Linked DNA regions of Elephas maximus indicus. The protein of the gene in region 1 purifies or fractionates together with the protein of each later gene. This does not show direct contact. Links are inferred from orthologs where the notes say so. Each region holds a gene or a part of one and is shown on either strand. Other genes may lie near its edges. The genes, in order: MOB1A and PJA2.

What was found.
Region 2: the proteins of MOB1A (region 1) and PJA2 purify together in Homo sapiens (affinity purification with western blotting; 3 studies listed by BioGRID). This does not show direct contact. The link is inferred for Elephas maximus indicus from reciprocal best matches to the Homo sapiens genes MOB1A and PJA2.

The regions. Positions count from the first base shown.
Region 1 is NC_064835.1:61,694,357-61,702,302, forward strand, and holds the start of MOB1A (MOB kinase activator 1A), read left to right. Parts: upstream 1-4,401; 5' UTR 4,402-4,593; coding exon 4,594-4,607; intron 4,608-7,946. UniProt on the Homo sapiens protein: Activator of LATS1/2 in the Hippo signaling pathway which plays a pivotal role in organ size control and tumor suppression by restricting proliferation and promoting apoptosis.
Region 2 is NC_064820.1:118,560,228-118,568,541, reverse strand, and holds the start of PJA2 (E3 ubiquitin-protein ligase Praja-2), read left to right. Parts: upstream 1-5,006; 5' UTR 5,007-5,115; intron 5,116-8,314.

The DNA.
Region 1 (7,946 bases):
TCTTTGTACATTATAGACTGTGTCTGGTGGGGAACAAATTGCCCTGCAGCAATATCCACCTTTTTTTTCTTTTAAACACAAACCTCTGGGTTTTATCCCCAGCGGAAATTTCCTGGTGGCTTAATGGTTAAGAGCTATGGCTGCTAACCAAAAGGTCAGCAGTTCGAATCCACCAGGAGCTCCCTGGAAACCATACAGGGCAGTTCTACTCTGTCCTATAGGGATGCTCTGAGTCGGAATTCACTCAAGAGCAATGGGTTTGGTTTGGTTTTAGTCTTGACTGAGAAATAGTCTTACCTTTGACCCCTAAGTGGACTATATTGCTAACGTGGTTATCATATTTTTATGTCTTAGAATGAAAAAACAGTAAACTGCCTCATTAAAAATTTTAAAGTTGTTTTCATATTAAAATAATATTATTTTGGATGTGTTAGGTTAAATAAAATATATTCTTAAAATTAATTCCACTTGGAATTTTGTTTTTGTTGATTTTTGCTTTTATTTCTTTTAAATTTATATTAAACCAAAAAAATCTGTTGCCATCGAGTTGATTCCAACTCACAGTGACCCTATAGCGACCCTATACTAGAATATTTTAAATTACCTAAATGCCTCACATTATATTTCTATTGGACAGCACTGGTCTGAGTAAGTATGTACGAAAAACTGAAAATCTCATGTAAAAATTTCTCACAGAAAGCACGTGCATATCCAAGAATATACACATAAACGTACTTTCCAGTTTAAAACACTGCTCTATAGTAGCACATTCTTTCTCCAGGAGAAATCCTGGTGGCACAATGGTTAAGTACTCGGCTGGAAAGGTTGGCAGTTGGAACCCACTAAGTGGCTCCACAGGAGAAAGACCTGGTGACCTGGTGATCTGCTCCCATAAAGATCACAGTCTTGAAAACAGTATGGGGCAGTTTTACTTTGTCGCATAGGGTCACTATGAGTCTAAATGGAGTCAATGGCACCTAACCAACAACATTCTTTCTCAGAAGCCAAGGATACAGAACTAGCATAGGATTTACCTTGTGGCTCTCACTCCAGGCTCCTAGTGCTATAATATCCCCGTGGTTTTCCCACATGGCTCCTTGTAGAACTGGTTTTAGGAAGGATCCAGGCACCTCCGCCCTTCCCAAGAAATATGCACTCCATTTCTGGTAATTCCACTGCCATCTGAGCAAAGATGGTTCTCCACTGGGAAACCTGGAAACCTGAGAAAGATAAAGGCCAAAAAAAAGTGAATGCCCATAGTCTCTGAGCAAACACCTGCAACTAATTACTAGGCAACTCAAAAACTGCTGAAATGCAGGGATTACATCAGTTAAAAAATAGCCTAAAAACTATTTAGCCAAATATGTAATCACATTCATTTAGCAAGTATTCGATGAATACTTACCCTGTACAAGGCCCCACACGAGGCACATGTAAAATATAAATAAGTCAAAGATTCCACTTTTAGAAAACTGGTCATCTAATAGAGTTGGTAAGACATGTCAAAATTTCTTACCTTTTAAACAGCAAATATTGCTTGAGGATGTGTATATTTCAGGCATTAAGTGCTTAATGTACCTTACCTCATTTAATCCTCACAACCCAATGAGATTACCTCCATTTTACACACCAGAAAACTGAGGCAAAATGTTATGAAAATATCCAAGGTCACATGTTATTAGGAAGCACTGGCAGGGTTCCAACTCAGACAGCTCCAGAGTCTGAGCTTTTAGCTACTATTGTACCTTGCTTCCCCTTTCAAAAAAAAAAGGGTTAAAAAAGTATTTGCATAAAAAAAAAACGGTTGCCGTTGAATCAATTCCGACTCATAGCGACCCTATAGGACAGAGTAGAACTGCCCATAGGGTTTCCAAAGAGTGGCTGGGCGTATTCCAACTGCCGAACTTTTGGTTAGCAGCTGAACTCTTAACCGCTATGCCACCAGGGTTTCCAGTATTTGCTTATTAGGGAAAAATCGGAATATGCAGAAAAGTAGAAAAGAATATAAATACATAAGCCCTCAAAGGCCTACTACCCAACACAATTGCTGTTTACCATGTAAATACTGCTTTTTAACTTGAACTATAATTATATATTGCAATAACGATACAGATAAAGCATTATCAAAGTTTGGAGGAAGGAAAGATGACTTCCGGCTGGGTCCTGAAGGACAGGGTAGGATGTGGTTATTGGTCATCCCAGTCAGGAGGGATTATAAGCACAGGAGCGTGGACTCAAGTAGGTTTAAGGCTTAGTGGCAAACAGCAAGGCATTGTTTGCCAAGAGCACAGCCCTGGACAATGAAGCTAGAAAATAAGTTAAGGGCAGGTCATAAGAAGCCGAGAATTTAAGGAATTTTTTTTTCCTAAAATGAAATTACCTTTCATTTTGCTGATAATACTGTACTGATGACCATTTATTCCTGTGTCAATCTCCTCTATTAAACTGGAAATTCCTCAAAGGTGAAGTCTATGTCCACATTCATTTAACAATCATTTGTGAAGTAACTTCTTTGTGGTGGTACTGTGCTGAGCACTGGGGATGACAAATGAACAAGATACGTCTCTGCCTCCAAGGAATTCACAGTCTAGTGGGAAACAAAGTATAAGACAGGTCGCATGGAAATAACAGGGTGGGTTTCTGTCACTTGCTACCAAAAGAAGCCTAACAGTTACCCACATCTGGCCACAGTTTCCTCCTTCTCTGTGTTCCCACTCCCACCTTATAGAAGAAGCCAGATTAAAGGGAGTAACAAAGAGGTTCTTGAAAAATAAAATCATTGTAATCAAATGAGGAGTCTGGCAGGATGGGTCAGATAGAACGGAAAGGCTGATGTTGAAGAAACTTCCAGTAAGATAAGGGCTGAAAAATGCCCATGGAATATTTTAAGATTCTGAGACACTGGTGGCCTTGGTGAGAAAAATTTTTGTGGGAGGGTGGGCAGGGTGAAGAATCTGGACTGATGTGTGTTGAGAACAGAAGGATGGTAATATCATGGAGACTGAAGACTCTTATTGGGTCAGAACCGCTTTTTGCATTGTTAGGTGGTCCTTTGGGGGCCTCGCGTAATGTTAAAGCAAGATTAAAAAAAAAATTGGTACGAAAGCCCAATGAGCACATGAAAAGATGCTCAACATCAAACCTACAATGTGATACCACTTCACACCTGCTGTTGCCATCAAGTGGATTCTGACTCATAGCTACCCCATGTGTCAGTAGAACTGTGCCAAAAGACTCCAGTCAAAAAGATAGACAATAACAAATGTTGGTGACAATGTGGAGCAGTTGGAGTCTTCACATATTGCTGGTGGAAATGCAAAAGGTTTATTCACTTTAGAAATAAATTTAGACATAATTATCACTCCTAGGTCTATATCCAAGAGAAATGAACACACTGTCCACACAAAAACCTGTACAGCAATGTTCACAGCAGCATTTGTCATAATAGCCAAAAAATGGAAACAGCCTGACGGGCATCAACTGATGAGTGGTTAAACAAAATGTGGTATACCTCTACAGTGAAATATTATTCATCCATAAAAAGGAATGAAGTAGGAATATAGTTTACAACACAGACGGATCTTGAAACATTATGCTAAGTGAAAGAAATCAGACACAAAAGACTACATATTGTATGATTCCATTTATACGAAATATCCAGACTAGGGGAAACCCTGGTGGCCTAGTGGTTAAGTGCTGCCGCTGACAACCAAGAGGTTGGCAGTTCAAATCCGCCAGGTGCTCCTTGGAAACTCTATGGGACAGTTCTACTCCGTCCTACAGGGTCGCTGTAGGGTCGCTATGAGTCGGAACCGACTCCCCGGCAGTGGGTTTGGGTTTTTTTTTGGTTTATCCAGATTAGGCAAATCCAGAGAAAAAGAAAGTAGACTACTGATTGCCAGGAGTTGTGGGAAGAGGGGAGAATGGAGAGTGACTGCTAATAGAGACGGGTCTTCTTTCTGGGGTGATGTAAATGTTCTAGAATTAGAGAGTGGCGATGGTTGCATAACTGTGAATATACCAAAAAAAAAAACCCTACCGAATTGTGCACTTTAGAAGGATGGATTTTACAGCATGTGAATTACATCTTAATAAAAATAAATTAAATTTTAAAAATTGCAGGGATGGACAGCTCTCAGAGAGTCCCCCTATACGACCTAGATAGTAAGGACCGAACCCAGCGCTACCTAACCGGTCCAAAGGCATGGCTGACCTCTCCTAAGCGGAACACCGCAGTAACCACCACCGGAGCAGGAGAGGAGGAAAGTCCCTGCCTGGAGGCTCCTGATTGGCTGAGCTCTAGGAGGGGCGTGGCTAAAGGATGCGTCTCGTCCTTACCGGCGGGCGGGGCGGGACAGGCCCTTAGCTCGCGAGATTTTGCTGGTTCCGCATTTGGGCTCGAAGAAGCGGGGGAGACGGGTGAGGTGGGCGCAGCGGGTTGCACCGGCTCGACCCCCGGCTCGGAGCAGCGGCCGCCCGGCTTCTGCTGTCCGCGGGCTAAGGAGCGTCGCTTCCTCTCGGTCCCTGCACCGACCCCGAGTTCCGTCTGCGGCGGGGGGCGGCGGCCCCTCCCCTCCCCTCTGAGGACCGAAGATGAGCTTCCTCTTGTGAGTGGGGCCGGGCCGGGGGCGCCGGAGCCGAGGGCCCGGGTCGGGGAGGGCGCTGGGGATCTGGAGGCGAGGGCCGGGCCCTGTCCGGGCCCCGGGGTCGGGGTAGCCGGCCCTGGTTCTGCCCCTGCTCGGGGCCGCTGGGGGGCTGGGTCGTGGAGGGAGGCTGACGGAGGTGAAGGTCGAGGCAGAGGAAGCGGAGGGAGCAGGTTGGGGAGTCGAAAGGCCCCGAGGCCGGTAGCGCCTCCAAACTTTTCCGCCCGAGCGCTCCTGGGGGCGGAGAGACCATCGAAGGCGGAGCCCCGGGCCGCGCCACGGGCTTCATGTTTCTTTCCAGTTTCAGAAAACATTCCATGCTAACTTAGATTTTTCTCCATTATGTATCCGGTTTTATTATTGTCGGTATTTGAAATTACCCCTACGGAAAAGTGCCGGCTCCGGAAAATGTGGAGAAGCGTGGACTTAAAATGCAGGCCTTGCAGCCAGACCGAGCTGTCCGGTTCTGGTTCTGCCCCCTTACTGACTTAGTGACTTTGGATAAGTTAACTAACTTCTTTTTTCCTTGGTAGAAACTCACTTTAGGGATACTGGCCCAGATGAGGTTAAAATGGAAAAGTATGTAAATTCTCTGATGATTCGTAAGCACAGAAAGGTTTGAGAAGCATTGCTTTGGCACCCAATTTTTTGTTCTGGGGACACTCTCTACGTTGTATTATTGTTTACGATATATGGTTAAATAAATATCCATTTAGTTATGGACGTTAATTCACGTTCTTGTCATTTTTATTACGCAGTGTTTCATAAGAATACTATAAAAACCAAACCCCTTGCCGTTGAGTCGATTCCGACTCATAGGGATCTTATAGGACAGAGTAGAACTGCCCCATAGGGTTTCCAGGGAGCTCTAAACCGCTGCGCCACCAGGGCTTCAAGATTACTATACTAGCGTTTATTTAACCAGTTCTTTATTGTGAGAAATTTGGATTCTATTATTTTGCTATTATAAAATAGCACTCCTAAGACTACCTTTGTCCAAATTGCATTTTCCCTCATTTGGGTTATTAAAGGCGTAGTTTCCAAAGTATGATTACCATGTCAAAGTGTGAATGATTTAGGTTTTAATTACAAATTTCCATGTTACTAGGACAGTAACTGCTCCCCACTGTCTTTTTCCTATGAGTTACTGTTAATGGTTTGTTCGTGGATATACCTATAAAAGTCATTCTTCTGAAGTGTACAATTCAGTGGTTTTTAATATATTCATAGAATTGTGCAGTCATCACCACTATCTAATTCTAGAACATTTCTCATCACCCCCCCCCCCAAAATCCCATACCCATTAGCATTTACTCTCCATTCCCCTGGAAGTAGACCACTAGTCTGCTCTCTGTTCCTATACCAAAAAAAAAAACCCAAACCCATTGCTGTTCAGTGGATTCCGACTCATAGCAACCCCACAGGACAAAGTAGTACTGCCCCATGGAGTTTCCACGGAGCACCTGGTGGATTTGAACTGCTGGCCTTTTGGTTAGCAGCCTGAGCTCTTAACCACTATGCCACCAGGGATTTGCCTAACTGGCCATTTCCCGTCAGTGGCATCATATAATCATACAAAACACTTAGCATAATGTTTTCAAGGTTTGTCCAGGCGCTACTAGGAAACCCTGTGAGGCAGCTCTACTCTGTCCTCTAAGGTCACCTTGAGTCGGCATCTGGGATCTGTGTTGTAGCCTGTATCGGTACTTCACTCTTTTTTATGGGTGAATAATATTCCATTGTATGGATATACCACATTTTGTTTATATCCATTCATCCGTTAATGGGTATTTGGGTTGTTCCTCCTTTTTGGCTATTGTGATTTAGGCTGCTGTAGACATTCACGTACAGGTGTTTGTGTGAACATGTGTTCATTTCTCTGGGGTATAGACCTGGGAGTGGAATTGCTAGGTCATATTGTAACTATGTTAATCTTTTGAGGAGCTGCCAAACTGTATTTCAAATTGAGTATACCATTTTACATTCCCATCAGCTATGTACGAGGGTCCCAATTTCTTCACATCCTCATCCACACTTGTTATATTGTCTTTTTTTATTAAAGCCATCATAAAACAAAAAACCAAACCCAGTGCCGTCGAGTCAATTCCAACTCATAGCGACCCTATAGGACAGAGTAGAACTGCCCCATAGAGTTTCCAAGGAGCACCTGGTAGATTCGAACTGCTGACCCTTTGGCTAGCAGCCTTAGCACTTAACCACTACGCCACCGGGGTTTCCAAAGCCATCATAGTGGGTGTGAAATGTTATTTCATGGTAGTTTTGATTTGCATTTTTCTAATGTCTAATAATGTTGAGCATCTTTTCATGTGCCTATTGGCCATTTGTGTATCTTCTTAGGAGAAATGTCTTCAAATCCTTTGCCCATTAAAAAAAATGTACTGTATTTTTTTTGTAAACCTAAAACTCATCCAAAAAAAAATGCACTTTATTTTTTTTTTGGATAAGTTTTAGGTTAAAAAAAAAAATTGCACAGATAGTACAGAGAGTTCCCATAATATTCCCTCTCCCCTGAATACACAGTTTCTCCTGTTATTAATGACTTGCCTTTGTGTGGTACATTTGTTACAATTGATGAAGGAGTATCGCTACATTATTATTAACTAAACTCCGTAGTTTGGATTAGGTTCAGTCTTTGTGTTGTACAGTCCTCTGAGTTTTGACAAATGCATAATATCATGTATCCACCGTATAGTATCATGCTTACCAGTTTTGCTGCCCTTAAAATGTTCTGTGCTTCATTGTGCATCCTTCTCTCCCTCCCCAAGCCCCTGGCAACCACTGATCTTTTTATTGTCGATAGTCCGCCTTTTCTAGAATGTCATATTGTTGGAATCATACAGTACATAGCTTTTTCACTGGCTTCTCACTTAGCAATATGCATTTAAGGCTCGGCCATGTCTTTGAGTCTTGATAGCTCATTTCTTTTTTATTGCTGAATAATACTCCTTTGTATGGATGTACAAGAAGCCCTGGCGATGCAGTGGTTAAGCTCTTGGCTGCTACCAAAAGGTTGGCGATTCGAACCACCGGCAGCTCTGCGGGAGAAAGATGTAGCAGTCTCCTTTTGTAAAGATTACAGCCTTGGAAACCGTATGGGGCGGTTCTCCTCTGTCCTATAGGGTTGCTATGAGTCGAAACCGACTTGATGGCAATGGGTTTGGTTTGAATTTTTGATATGGATGTACCATAGTTTGTCCACTCACCTATTTAATGGCGTTTGGTTGCTTCCAGTTTTGGGCAGTTATGAATAAAACTGCTGTAAACATTTGTGTGCAGGTTTTT
Region 2 (8,314 bases), on another chromosome or scaffold:
CTTCTCATTCTGCCCATTTGGAGCTGCCCATTTGGTCTCGTGTATCTGCTTGAACTGAGAAGCACACTCTTCACAAGTATTACGTTTTATACTCTAGTCTAATCTTTGTCTGAAGAGCAGGCTTTGGGAATGTTTTTAGTTCTGGGTTAACACAGCATTCAGTAGGCATGGCTTCAAGAGTTCCTCCAGTTTCAGTCAGACCATTAAGTCTGGTCTTTTTATGTGAATTTGAATTCTGCACCACACTTTTCTCTTGCTCCATCAGGGACCCTCTGTTGTGATCTCTGTCAGGGCTGTCATTGGTCAGAGTCAGGTTGATGGAGTTTCTGGTTTATGTGGCTCTTTTGTATCTTGGGCTGATACGTTCCTTGTGCCTTTGATGTTCTTCATTTTCCTTTGCTCCACGTGGGCTGGGACTAATTGATGCATCTTAGATGGCTGCTCACAAGCTTTTAAGACCCCAGATGACACTTACCAAAGTGGGATCCAGAACATTTTCTTAATAAACTTTGTTATGCCAATAACGTAGATATCCCCTGGCACCATGGTCCCCAGATCTTAGCCCCTGCTACTCTGTCCCTCGAAGTGTTTGATTGTGTTCAGGAAACTTCTTAGTTTTGGTTTAGTCCAGTTGTGCTGACTTCCCCTATACTATGTGTTGTCCTTTCTTTCACCTAAGATGATTCTTGTCTACTATCTAATTAGTGTCCATCTGCTTTTGATGCTTTCTGCATCATTCAATGTTTTGCCTGTAGAATTCTTCAAAATTGCAACTCAAGTTTTGAATTTTTTCTTCAGTTCTTTTAGCTTGAGAAATACTGAGTGTGTTCTTCCCTTTTGGTTTTCTATCTCCAGGTCTTTGCATTTTTCATTATAATACTTTACTATGTCTTCTTGAATGGCCCTTTGAAATCTTCTGTTCAGCTTTTATTTCACCATTTCTTCCATTCGCTTTAGCTACTCTATGTTGACGAGCAAGTTACAGAGTCTCTTCTGACATCCATTGCAGTCTTTTCTTTCTTTCCTGTTTTTTTTTTTTTTTTTTAATGATCTTTTGCTGTCTTCATTTATGATCTTGATGTCTTCCTACAACTCGTCTGGTCTTCGGTCATTAATGTTCAGTGCATCAAATCTATTAATTGAGATGGTCTCCAAATTCAGGTGGAATACACTCAAGGTTGTACTTTGGCTCCCATGGACTTGTTTTAATTTTCTTCAGCTTCAATTTGAACTTGCATATGAACAATTGACAGCCTGTTCCACAGTCAGCCCCTGACCTTGTTTTGACTGATGATATTATGCTTTTCCATTGTCTCTTTCCATAGATGTAGTAGATTTGATTCCCATGTTTTTCATCAGTGAGGTCCACATGTATGTTGTTGTTGTTAAGTGCCAAAAATCAAGTTCGTTGCAACTGATAGTGGCCCTACAGGACAACGTAGAACTGCCTCCAATTAGGAATTTGAACTGCCGATCTTTTGGTTAGCTGCCGAGCTTTTAACCACTATGTCCCCAGGGCTCAAATGATGTACTGAACTGGGCAAATCTGCAGCAAAATTCCTCTTTACTCTGTTGAAAAGCAAAGATGTCACTCTGAGGGCAAAGCTGTGCCTGAACCAGGCCATGATGTTTTCAATCACCTCATATGCATGCAAAAGCTGGACAATGAATAAGGAAGACTGAAAAAGAATTGATGCCTTTGAATTATGATGTTGGTGAAGAATATAGAATATACCATAGACTGCCAGAAGAATGAATGAATCTGTGTTGGAAGAAGTATAGCCAGCATGCTCCTTGGAAGCAAGGATGGCGAGACTTGTCTCAAGTACTTTGGACATGTTTCAGGAGGGATCAGTCCCTGGAGAAGAACATCTTGCTTAGTAAAGTAGAGAGTCAGCAAAAAATAGGAATACCCTCAATGTACTGAATTGACACAGTGTCTGCATCAATGGGCTCAAGCATAATAATGTTTGTGGGGAAGGCGCAGGACCAGCTGTGTTTCCTTCTGTTGTACACAGTGTTTCTATGAGTTGGAACTAACTCAATGTCACCTAAGAACAACAAAACAATAATATGTATTTAGTATTTACCACATACTAATCGGAAACCCTGGGGATGTAGTGGTTAAGAGCTACGGCTGTTAACCAAAAGGTCAGCAGTTCAAATCCACCAGGTGCTTCTTAGAAACCCTATGGGGCAGTTCTACTCTATTCTATAGGGTGGCAATGAGTTGGAATTGACTCGACGGCAACAGGTTTGTTTGTTTCTTTGTTTTTAAATCATAATATGGAACCCTGGTGGCACAGTGGTCAAGAGCTTGGCTGCTAACCAAAAGGTTGGCAGTTTAAATCCACTAGCCATTCCTTGGAAACCCTATATGGCAGTTCTACTCTGTCCTGTAGAACTGCTATGAGTTAGAATGGATTGGATGGTTGCAGGGTTGGTTTTAAGCATAATACAAGGAGCCCTAGTGGCTGAGTAGTTAAGCATTCAGCTACTACACGAAAGGTCAGCAGTTTGAACCCACCAGCCACTTTATGGGAGAAAGATGTGGTAGTCTGCTTCTGTAGAGACTAATCATTAAAAACTCTGTTGTGCTCAAGTTAATTTTACCTTGGAAACTCTATGGGGTAGTTCTACTCCGTCCTGTTGGTCGCTGTGAGTCAGAATCAGCTAGATGGCAACAAAAAAAAAAAAGGTAAGCATAATTTGCCTTACATAGATTAGGTTGTTTAATCTACATAAAAACCCCATAAGTAAGCATTGCTACTTTCCCCATATTTAATGAGAAATTGAGGTTGAGAGGTAAGTAGAGTTCCCAGAAGCACACAGCTATGCACATAAGGAGTACAATGAGAGTGTGATCTGCTTGATCCCAGAGTACATTGCTTGTAAGCCTCCACAGTGCTGTTTCCCCCCAAATAACAGATCACTTATGATGCCTCAGATGACTTTAGTTGGGACACACATACAAGATTCAAAATAATAACTCAGTGAGAAAGTGATTCCTACTTTGCTACTATTGTTTGGATTACATCATGATGAAAATGTCATTTAAGCACTATATCTTTAATGTATGTCTAATGCTTGGTAACCTCTCCTTTTAACACAGTGAGTAGGCTTCTAGAACCTTTTAGTAGGCAATAGTTTTCAGCCAGAATTTAAAAACATTATGTTTACTTAGTTACTTTCACCTTAGGATAGTGATGCTAGTTTTCTTTTAGCAGTACTTTTATAAAGTTTTCCTCTTAAAAAATGTGAGAAAAAGTACATTTGTTTTAAAAATAATAATTACTGCATATAGTATACACAGATATGGCATGAAAGAGACTGAAATTTGGGAAACTGTGCCAGAACAGGTTGTCGTTGTTATTATTAGCTGCTGATTCTGACTGATGGTAACCCCATGTGTGCAGAGTAGAAAATGCCATAGGATTTCCAAGTCTGTGATCTTTCAGACGCAGAGCGCCAGGCCTGTCTTTCGAGTTGCCTCTGGATGGTTTGGATTGCCAACCTTTCCGGAAGGTTAACCATTTGCACTATCCAGGAGCTGCAACAGGTTAGTGTATACAATCTTAGCAATATTCTAATGGGAAATTAGAAACACGCCAGAAAAGTACCAATTCTCTTTCAAAGAGGGAGGGTCTTGGATGCAAAGAAAACCAGAACTTCTAGAGCAACACGCGTAAAGGTAGAGAAATGTCAAGTGGGAACTGTCCTCCCCAGTAAGAAATGTCCTACAGGGGTGGGCTGAAAATTAGACTTGGTTTTACGAAGTGTCTAGCAAATTCTCATCATCTGGGTTTCTATAGTAAATTTTGGATAGTTCGTTTCCGTCAATAGCAGAAAAATTAACAGTTTGAGTTAGCTGGCAGAATTTGTAGTTGCCAGGGGACAGTACAAGAAGTGGAGGTCTTCATTCAGGGCGGTGGGGACAATAAACATATTTTGTCACCAGGCGTTGGGGGAGGGGCTGGGGCATGAGATGGGAGTAGAGTGGGATTGTAATCAGAGAAGCAGGCATATTCAGGATGAAAAAAGAGGACACGTGCAGAACGAAAAAAACAATTTTTTATCACTGACATAATTAACTAAACAGTTACCCGGGTTTAAATTAAGCAAGATGTCCAGGGACTACAGCTGTTATATTTATTTTGGTTGCTTGTGATGGGAGCGGTTACTTCTCGGCTTGACAACCGATCAGCCTCAAGATGCAATCTGGGAAGCTCTGGTCAGGCCTTGGCTATAAAGGGGAAAGGCCTCCTTGTACACCGCCCCATTCCAGTACAATCAGAAATGGGAAGCGGGGAGAGAACTGACTGCGGTGGGTGGATAGAAGGCACTGTGTAGTGCGCAGTCAAGATGGGCAAGCGTGCTCTTCTTACGTCTGCTATTTTTTCTTCTCCCACAAGTATGAACAGCAACGGAATGAACTTTCATTATGCCAGGAGACCATAACCTGGTTAGATTTCCCGCTGAATCAGGAACGACTGCAATGCTCCATTTTGGTAGCTGCTGTTGTAATCCTGAAAAGTCTAGCTGCGCCAGACCTTCTCAGTTCACGGCTACTTCCCTTTCCCTGAGACCCCGCCCTTTTTCCCCCAGCCAAACCACAAAAGGCCTGCTGTTCCAGACCGAGACTGGTGCCCCGCCCCCTCCCCAAACGTCGCAGTACTGCAGGGAAAGAAGGCTGCCTCGGACGGGGGCGGAGTCGGGCTGCGTCTTTCCGCTCTTCGCCCAATCGGTGACGTCCTCCTGAAGGAGGAATGGGGAGCCGGTCGTAGAAGTAGTCCAAGTGTTTTCTCTTTTTCTGCCACGTCCCAACCATTGACGTGAGCCCACTCCTCAGATTGTCAGTGGATATTTAGACTGCCCCTGCAGAAATCCTTTCAATCTATTGGTCAGAGCTGTTTTGGGGGCGGGGCTTTATTTCTATCCTTCGCCTCTGCCGCGGCGCAAGGGGCGGGACGCGCTGCCACCGCCTCTGCTTCCGCCGCCGCTGCCGCCGCCAGCCCCTGCGCGTTCCGCGGGGGAGGAGTCGGAGGCGGAGAAGAAGGCGGTGGTGGCGGGTGGAGGATCGAGCGCTGTTCTCGCTCCGGAGCCGCTGCACATTCGGTGAGGGGATTTTTTTTTTTTTAACTGGCCTGTTATGATGTCGGGAGTGCGAGGGATCGGGGCGAGGAAATTGCTGCTTCAGTTCCTCGATTTGTTAGTTTCTCCCCTCAAGAAGGAGCGGGGCCTGTTCCTGGTCCGCTGCGCCGGCCATGGTGGGTGGGGTTGATGGTTGTAAGAGGCCTTCTTCGCCTCCTGGGCCGTGCCCAGCATGGACCTCGGGCCACATTCGTGTCCGTGGCCGCTGCGCCTGCTGACTTCCCTGAGGATGCCGTCGATTGGTATCGGGGGGCTCCGCTGCCCTCCTTTTCCTGCTGCCTCTTCTGCTGTCCTTGGTGCTTTGGCTAAGGACCCCGCACCACAGCCTTTCTCCCCACATTTGCGGCTGTCTAGGAGTGTGTCCCCCACTAACACCCCACAGCCGTCTTCTCTGCCCATCTCCAGTCATCTGGCATGGAGCTTATCCATCTTACGCCACAGGCCTGCACCCCCCCTCCCGCCGAAAAGCCTTCCGTTACCGCTGCTCTGGTGGGTGTATTACCATTTTTCCCGGTTGTCAGCGAACTCGGGCACGCAGATACCCTGCACAAACCACAGCTGTCGTTTTTCTCCCGGTATTAGCACCCACCATTCCATCACCGCTTCTCCCTGTTGGCGATGTCAGATCAAAGCACGCCTTGATTGAAGGCCTATGCACCTTCAGCTTCGGCCTCCCTAAGATTACTGTTTGGTAATCATTTTGCGCACATTCAGAACGGTGAGTTTAAAGCCGCTCAGACCAAGTTGAAGAAAAGGGGAGGAGGTAATAAATAGTCTTTTTGCAGGGAGGAAGAATAATCTGTTTGTAGACTTTCCACGCATTAAAAAATACATCTGCGTAGACACTGCTTTGAGCCTGTTCTGGTTCTGTGAAGTTACACATTTTTTAAAGTTTCATATATATATCTGTTATTTTTATCATGAAATATTGATCAGTTAAATTTCTTTAAAACGGCAGTCACCTTTGCTGAAGACTACAGATCATTTGAAGAATATGTAAATATACCCGAAGATAACGGAAATAAACGATTAAACTGTTTTTTCAACTTTGTAGTTGTCTTCTGGAATTCATGTGATTTTTAATGAAATAACTTTGATTTTTTACTTAATTACAGGCATGCAAGCTTGGTGTAAAATTCAAACAGTATATTTGAAAAGACTATTAGGTAAAATGTGAAAATTTCTCTTCATCTCCTAGTCCCTCTCCAGTATCTAGAGTTAACAATTTAGTATGCATCTTTTAAAATCCTTTTACACATGCACTTTTACACACACACACACACCCAGTTTGGGCGGGGGTGGGTGGGGAAGATTGTACCAAACACATTAACATATCACTTGCTTTTTCATTTAATTATCCATCTGGGAAACTTTCCCTGTTATATATAGGTCTACCTAATATTTTTTAAGGGTTAAGTGGTATTTCATTAATTTAATCATTCCTTTATTGATCAAGAAAAAAAAAAAAATGCCGTCTAGTCTATTTTGACTCATAGCGACCTTTTAGGACGGAGTAAAACTGTCCCATAGAGTTTCCAAGGAGCACCTGGTGGATTCAAACTGCTGACTTTTTGGTTAGCAACCATAACTCATAACCACTAGGCCACCAGGATTTCCCCTTTATTGATAGATATTTAAATTAATTGCAGCTTTTTTGCTGTCACAAGTAATGCTTTCTGTGCAACCAAGTTTTTAATTTATTGATTTATTTTTAACTATAAACTTTAAAATTGTACTTGAGTTTAAAAATTGAAATAGTATGGAAGAATATAAGATCCCAGAAAAAAAACTCGAATATAAGATAAAAAAGTACAATTCCCACTTGCCCTTTTAGTCCTACCTTCATCCTAAGAATCACTGTTAACTTGCTTTCATCCCAGTCATCATTAACAATTTCGTAAACAACTTCTGTGTGTGATTATTTCTGAAGGGTGGATTCCTAGAAATGTAATTACTAGGTTTAAAAAAAAAAGTGTATCCATATTTTAAATTTTGGTAATTTCTCCCTCAATACTTTTTTCAGAAATATTCTCAACTGTTTTTTTTTTTTTTTAATGTATTTCCTCCTTCAGATGAACTTTAGACTCAACCTGTAAAATAAAAAATCCTTACCCTTTACCGTCAAGCTGTTTCTGACTCATAGTGACCATATAGGACAGAGTAGAACTGCCCCATAGGATTTACAAGGCTGTAATCATACATCTTTCCCCTGCAGAGTGGCTGGCTGGTGGGTTCAAACCTCCAGCCTCTTGGTTAGCACCCCCAGGGTTCCTTAAAAAAGTCCTTGGTGATTTTGAATGGTTTCATATTGAAATTTTAGATTACTTTGGAGATAGCTTACCTTTATTGTATGGGAAGTGGTGTGTCTTTTAGTGAGGTCTTTATGTTCTTAGGGAAGGTTTTATAGTTTGTTTTGTTTTGTTCATATGTGTATGTATATATATGATATTCCTTCTTTTAGTATTCTTAGCTATTTCATGGTTTGATTGCTGTGGTAGATGTAAACTTTGCAGCAACATATTCTCTTTGTTTTTGTTCCAGTTATAGGAAAGCTTTCGAATTTTCTGTTATCGTGTTTCTCATCACTTCATTGAGTTGATGTTTACCTGAAAATATTCAGTTTTGTGGTTTCCTTTTCAGTTTTTATAAATCAATCGTTTTTCTCTCTCATTGTTTTGGCTATTATACATACTGTATAATGTTGCATAATAGCAGTAATCACTAGAAACTTGGTGTATTTCTGGCTTTAAGGAGAATGTTTCTAATTTTTTAGTATAAATTATAATATTTTTGGAAGCTTTCTGAGAAATAGCTGATATTAACCCAGTGCCGTCAGGTCAGCTGATATTAGGTGATAATATCTCTTCCTATTCTTGGCTTTCCAAAAGGATTTTATTGTTGTTATTTCATTTCTGTTGACATTTTTAAAACCACAATTGGGTATTGAATTTTATTAGATGTTTTTTGATATCTTTTGAAGTAGTTATATAAGGCATCACCAAATATTCCCTGGTTAATATTTTCCTAAGAAAGCACCTTTTTTAAAATAATCAATTTTATTGAGGATAATTAACATATAATAAAAAGTATACACCCATTTAAAATACACAGTTCATTGTGTTTTGACTAATGTGTACACACATCACTACCACCACCATCAAAA